2 linked regions of the Neurospora crassa OR74A genome follow. Each later gene encodes a partner of the first gene's protein in a complex. Links are inferred from orthologs where the notes say so. Each region holds a gene or a part of one and is shown on either strand. Other genes may lie near its edges.

Region 1 (2,883 bases):
GCTGTTGATCCATCGGACTGCGCTGTGCAGCGGGGTGTCGCCCTCGAGTCGGTTGACGGGATCGCATTCAAAGCCTGGTTGGTCGAGGAGCATGTCGATTATCTCGTAGTTGCCACGGAGCGCGGCTTCGTGGTAGAGGTGGTTGCCCATCACGGTGGTCGTGTTGTTCAAGAGGGAGGAGATTTCTTCGTCGGATTTGTCGGCGAGAATTTCCGAGAGGAGGTCAGTGTTGTTACGCCGGCAAGCTTCAATGAGCTGCTCGGAGATGGAGGCACCCTGTATTTTGGGGGGTGAAAGAAGGAAGGGTTAGCTGGGGTTGTCTGTAGTATAGCTGTTTGCGCGAGAGGGCGTAGGGCGGGTGAAACGGGGGATAGAAGAGAGAGGGTGTTAGTTGGGGGTAGAGGACGCTTGTGTGGTACGAACCTCGTGTTCTTCGTCCTTTCCGGCCATGGTTACTGGTAGGTCACTTGTGGTTGTCTCGGAAACGGCGGGTGATGTTTCTTGGTTGTAGGAAGAAGCACAAGTAGCGAAAACGACGGTGAAAGCGAAGAGGGATGACGGCGAGAGTTGTCCAAAGTAGAGAGGTAAGATTGGCCTGGAATTGCTAATTACGAGCGGGAATCGTGGAAATGGGTCGGCGGGGGAGAGTGGATGTACGGTATGGAAGTGGCCAGGCTGTCGAATCAGGTAATCGGTCGATTCCTATAAAAGGATCGGGATCGCGTAACGCTCAATGAGGGATCTTCGGGGTAATAAGAGGGCGGCGAACGACTGTTTGTAGGGTACAGTGTACTGTATTCTATGAGATATCTCCAGTCGTGGTGGTGGTGGTGGTTGTATGAAGGACGGGATGGAAGCATTCCGTACCTCTACCTAACGGGCTGGTTAGGAGGTGGCAGTGGCAGTGTCGTCTTCCCTTGGTGTTACAGAATGGTCGGCTCCTTGCGGGGCCCGATCAGGACGCTGGCATTCAGATGGCATGCGCTGAGGCCCAGCTGCATGTCAGTGAGTAGGTACGTACCTACCTTAGCACAGGCACAACAGAAAGGGCCGTTGGGTCCAGGCACCGCTGACCAAGTGTGGGACAGTTGATGATGCAGATCTGACCAATGAAAATTCAAGCGCTACATTTAAGGTTTATAGAATTAACGGACCGCATCGAGCTATAACACTTTTTTTCAGGCCATCGCCCCTACACTGACTATTTACACTCTAACAACTTATATCACTACCTTAAAGCCCAGCAAGTGGTAGACATAAACACCGGTCTTGGCCAGCTGTTTTCACAAAAGGTACCAGCTTACGGCGACGCCTCTTCTCATCAGGATCGTCAACAAGACTTTTGGCAACCGCTCGACTCATCTCACTTGCTATTCATAACGGACGATAACACACAACAAACAAATCCAGTCCCTTCATCAATAGCAAACATGCCTATCGTCTGTAAGTCCAAGTCCACCCACAAAGGCTAGGACACCGGAACTAAACGCCCACCACAGTTTGCCCATTCTGCGCCAACCTCCTCATCCTCTCCCGAGCGGACACGGGTGGCAACAGGCTCGAGTGCAGAACCTGTCCTTACGAACACCCCATCGACAAGCCCATCTACTCCCGCAAGAACTTCCCGCGCAAGGAGAAGGAAGACGTGTTTGGTGGTCCAGGCGCTTGGGACAATGCACAAAAAGGCAAGGTCCAGTGTGACAGCGGAACTTGCAATGGCAACGAGGCAGCCTTCTTCCAGGTTCAAATTCGTAGTGCTGATGAACCGATGACGACGTTCTACAAGGTAAGAAGGGGATTGCAGACTGATGGGATAAAGTAAGAAGCTAACATGTCTCGTAGTGTATGACTTGCGGGCACAGGTGGAGAGACAACAACTAGAGGAAGAAGACATGTTCAGCACAGGTCTGGTCGGATCATCAATACATGGTATTGGGGGCATTGCTTGGCGTTGGGTTTTTCTTTTGTTTTTGTGTAGTTGCATGTGAGGTATTCTTCATCAGAATCAACTTGTGCGGTACTGGCCTGCCAGAGGCTACTTCCCACTCGTTTCCATCCCTGGCATCATTCTACCCGTGCAACTTATGCCGTGCTTGGAAAACTCTCTCGATGCCAGTCGATTCCGGCCTTCATGCCCTCTAGCCTGAGACGCTCGACCAGGTCTGGGCTGATGATGTCCTGCCTGAACTTTTCCTGCTGCAGCAACTCCAGGTTCTTCAAGGTAGGCCCAGGGTAGGTGATATACTTGAGGTAAGGTGGGCGGCTCCAGTACTGGAGATAGTCGAGGTAGGCGATGAAAGCAGGATTGCTGAGTAGCTTCCTGGACGCAAGATGGTTCAGGTACAGCGGGTTGCCAAGTGCTTGAACAAACTGAGTGTTCTGTTAATACCACGCACGCTGGATGATAATGTGTATGAAGCCTACCTCCAGTTCGAGTTCGAACCGTGTATATCCTCCATACTTGGGCTCGTCTGCCCCTGATCCCGGAGGCGCAGGTGGCTCCCTTGCTGAACTGTTTACTGACATGGGATCGGATGCCATGACGTAAAAAATGAGTGTTTGTTACAGTGTTCCAATCTGTGAATGAGCTGGATACCTAGGAACGTGTCTAGATGTTTGCGCCTCTTTGTCAAGTGAATGCGATGGGCAGTACAAGTAGACGTGAGCAGTGGCTGCTCTTAAATGGTCGTTTGTGTTGGACGAAAGCCTCAACGGCCCGTGAGTGCCCGGAAGGAAGGCGAGACTGTTTTGTTCCACCAACAATTCCTCGAGGGCGGCCCGGATGTGGCAAATTAGTGGGGCAAGCAAGCGGAGATGGCTCTGTCCCTGCAGAAAAATCAGCGTGTAACCGCTATAAATACTCAGATCAGCCCTGTAACTTGC
Region 2 (3,816 bases), on another chromosome or scaffold:
GGTGAGGGTGGCGTGGACGGCAGGGTGCATCGTGAGTGCGAGGGCGGGTGCTCTGACTCCACGGTATCGGGTAGATGCGCTCTTGGTAGCGGCCAGGGCAGGGGACTCACGTATTTCTTCAGGGCCTCCTGATACTCCTTCTCGGCCTTGGCGAGGTTCTCGTTGAAGGCATCCTGATCAGGCTTGTGAGGCTTGGTGGTGGCCGCAGGGGCGGCAGCGGGGGATTGCGACTCGGCCATTGTGTGTGGTGTTGGGGGTTGCTGAAGGAAAAAAAGAAGAAGGAAGAAGAGACGAAAGGAAGGGAATAGTAAGATAAAGACGGGGAAGGGGGACTAGGCAACCGGGGGGCGTGGGTCGGAGCCGGTGGGTAGGTTGGTTGGAGAGCTACTTAGTGTAGAACAGCCGCGGGCGACCTGAGGAAGGATGGGAAGTGGAAGGCAGTGCACGTCCGAGGACCGCTGTTCGGGTCCTGTAGGATAGGATGTACCTCTGGGGTAATCGCTGCTTTGAGATGTGGTTATGTGGATGTGTAGTGGAAGATGGGGTCCAGACTGCCCTGGGGAGAACAATGGCTAGGTAGTGCGGGTGCTGTCAATGCCTGATCTGTTTTGCCCGCATCCAAATTGACAATTGAACGGGAACTAACCTAACTTTGGTCACTTTGAACCCTCAATTCACAGTCCCGTCGCCAGTTCCAAAAAATTCCAAAATTTGTCCCGCTTCAGGCGTGTTCCAGATCTGCAGATCGTGGCCTTTCCCCGACACCGTGTCACGCGTGTCACCGTCTTGGCCTGTGCGCTACTACCTACCCTACCAAGTACATATGGTGCGCTGGTTGGTTGGTTGGTTGGTTGGTTGGTTGGTTGGAGGATGATGATGATAGGTTGAATTGGCTCTTCACTAAGTTCACTTCACTTTGCCCAGCAATGTCCCTCATGGAACATATATGGATCATGGAAGAGGTTTATATAGGTAGTTGGCCGAGGAGAATTAATTTTGTGTACTATCATGTATGTACCGGAAACGCAACTTGAAGTGTATGTCCGCTTTTCCAGTCATGCATAAAACCAGCGCACGCCATCACTGTTCCTCCTAGGTCTTTCACGACTTCAACAAACTGCCTGCCTGAATCAGAAGCCGGTCAACGGTCAACAGCACAGACCATCTGCGCGCTTACTTGTAGTGTCTCACAGGGGTGAAGGCAGCCTCCGGCTCACTGTGGACCCATCCATCTCTTATCGGCCGGCGTGGAATCCTGGAGTGCCCGGGCGTTAGGTCTGATCAATGCGGCCACGCCTCTGGTTTTCGGCGACACCCACCCTTCCCGCAATTTTTTGAGAGCCTTTGTCCTTCAGCCTCGTAAACAGGAAAGTCCTCCAAGCTATCAATCCACCAACACGCCATCCACCATCGCGAACCACCACCTCACCTGCGCAACCTCCACATCACCACCACTCCGCGACGACAAACACTACACTTCAATCGACTGCCCAACACACACAGTCAAAATGGAGGACGACAGCAGCCCCACCAGTGCCTCCAAGGAAGTCTCCCGTCTGTGGAGGGCCTGGAGGACTGTTCACGAGATGGTTCAGGACAGGGTACGCCATCCATCCTTATCACGGCGCTTGCTCGACGCGCCATCGCCCAGAATGATTCGACCTATTCTGACATGTACATGTGCTTCTCGACTATAGGGCTACGAGTTGGCGGAAGACGAAGTCAAGATCTCGCTCGAGCGGTTCAAGGCTGAATACACGAACGAGGATGGAACACCAAAGTGAGTTCCTGCGTCGGCACCCATCACCCCTCCATCACCACCACTTTACGCGTCGCATTTCAAACCTCAAACCACTATCACCTCCCCACCAGACTAACATGACGACACCAAACCACAGCCGCGCCAAGCTCCAATTCTCCGCCCGCCCCTCGGAAGCCATGATCAAAAAGTTCACCGCCCCTCCCACGCCCTCCAACCCCAACCCCGTTCCCGAATGCGGCACCATCTGGGTCGAGTTCTGCACCGAAAAGGGCTCCATCGGCGTGTCCGTCATGAAGAAATTTGTCACCCACTGCTCCGACAACAAGTTCAAAGCCGGCATCTTCATCACCGCCGTCCCGCTTTCTGCCCAGGCCCGCAAGGTCATGTCCGTCACCTCGCAGTACACACAGGTCGAGTGCTTCCTGGAGGAGGACCTGCTGGTCAACATCACGCACCACGAGCTCGTGCCCAAGCACGTGTTGCTGTCCAAGGAGGAGAAGGCCGCGCTCCTCAAGCGGTACCGACTCAAGGAGACGCAGCTGCCGAGAATTCTGAGCAAGGATCCGATTGCGCGGTATCTGGGACTCAAGAGGGGCCAGGTCGTCAAGATCATTCGTGTGTCGGAGACGGCGGGTCGCTATGCTTCTTACAGGCTTTGCGTATAAGGGGGGCAAGCGTGTGTGCGTGAGAGAAGGGGGTGGTTGCGTGCGGTTGGCAAAGCTGGGCTGGCTGGCTGGCTGGCTGGCTGGAGGGCACTACACCAATCCATCCAATCTCTCCCCAGGCTTGATTTGTTCTCTGGACGGTCTTCGACGGGCCAACGCGGGTCTGGCTGGTGGGAATCAGTTGATGACTATATGGACGAGGACTGGATAAGAAGCCTTGGGAAGGGGACGATGACGGCCAGCAGCGAAGCAAGAAAGAAGTGAAAGCACGGCAGCCACCAGCGGGACAGGGAGGAAGGGGTTAGGGGTTCGGTTGTGTAATACAAAACACTTGGGCGTTTTTCTTTTTCTTAACTATTCTAGCATCATGGGGGATACAGGGAAATCAGTTTCTGTTCTTTCGAATTCAAAAGAGGACAAAGAAAGAAAGGCGTTACGGAGTGGCTTTTGTACTAAGTAGCTTGAGATATATACCGACAAGAGAATATCCGAGCTATCATTATGAAATTTTGAGACAAGAGAGATTAGAGCAGTTGGGTACTGTGTTTGCTAATGGGTATATTCACCACGGAGTCTACTATATTAGAGTGCTTATCTGAGCTAGAAGTAGCCCCTGGCTGAATCATCAACATTCAGGTGTTTGGATGCTGACTGAAAGAAAGTTTCGTCAATCCCTTTTGAAATCGGGCATGAGATATCAGAGTTATTGAGCTGTTGATTCGATTGCTCAAGAGTTACTCAGTGACTGGTGACATTGTATTGACCAATACAGAACTATACGCAGCCTCTACCATAAAGTCAAGACACTTATCCTCCAACACTGTAATCCGTTTGTTACATGGCATGTTGACTGTTCAATTATTCATTCATTCCTCTGTTAATACACACCTAAAAGACTCACTCAAGTCCAAATCACGAACCAATCCCAATCCCAATCCCTCTAAGGCCAAACCTCAACCTTCTCCCACTCCCCCTGCACCTCCCCGCCCGCCTCCTTCGCATGATAACTATTTCCCCTCCACAAATACAACCACCGCCTCGCCCTCTTCGCATCCGACAAATCCACCTGATCCACCTCGGTCGGCACAATCACCACCACCCTGAAATTCTTTCTGGCTACCTCATCCTGCAAATCCACCACCTCCTGGCCCAACCCCTCCCCTTTTCCAGGGGGGAACGCCACCGGCTGTCCCGGCGGCGGCCCGCGAAACGTGCCCCTCATGACCGGATTCAAATTTCCAAAATGCGCCGTAACCTCCCTGCTCCAGCTCCATTGCTCCTCATCCTCCTGTGTCTTGCCCTCCAGTCTGCGCATCCGCTGCCGCAACACCTCCCGCACCTTCTTGGCCCCTTCACTGTCCACGTCCGGCCCCAAAAGCCAGGCTGATC

What was found.
Region 2: NCU00570 (region 1) and NCU05305 share a complex: the UniProt entries of both Saccharomyces cerevisiae proteins name them as parts of the RNA polymerase III (Pol III) complex. The link is inferred for Neurospora crassa OR74A from reciprocal best matches to the Saccharomyces cerevisiae genes RPC11 and RPB5.

The regions. Positions count from the first base shown.
Region 1 is NC_026501.1:7,970,220-7,973,102, forward strand, and holds NCU00570 (DNA-directed RNA polymerase III polypeptide), read left to right. Parts: upstream 1-1,191; 5' UTR 1,192-1,430; coding exon 1,431-1,443; intron 1,444-1,499; coding exon 1,500-1,786; exon of another isoform or gene 1,787-1,842; coding exon 1,843-1,881; 3' UTR 1,882-2,062; downstream 2,063-2,883. Other genes in the region: NCU00571 (hypothetical protein), read right to left, coding at 1-276, 424-450; NCU00569 (SOH1 family protein), read right to left, coding at 2,083-2,370, 2,425-2,541. UniProt on the Saccharomyces cerevisiae protein: DNA-dependent RNA polymerase catalyzes the transcription of DNA into RNA using the four ribonucleoside triphosphates as substrates. Component of RNA polymerase III which synthesizes small RNAs, such as 5S rRNA and tRNAs.
Region 2 is NC_026504.1:5,395,289-5,399,104, reverse strand, and holds NCU05305 (DNA-directed RNA polymerase II polypeptide), read left to right. Parts: upstream 1-1,266; 5' UTR 1,267-1,508; coding exon 1,509-1,601; intron 1,602-1,697; coding exon 1,698-1,780; intron 1,781-1,898; coding exon 1,899-2,427; 3' UTR 2,428-3,047; downstream 3,048-3,816. Other genes in the region: NCU05304 (nuclear segregation protein), read right to left, coding at 111-239; NCU05306 (hypothetical protein), read right to left, coding at 3,368-3,816. UniProt on the Saccharomyces cerevisiae protein: DNA-dependent RNA polymerases catalyze the transcription of DNA into RNA using the four ribonucleoside triphosphates as substrates.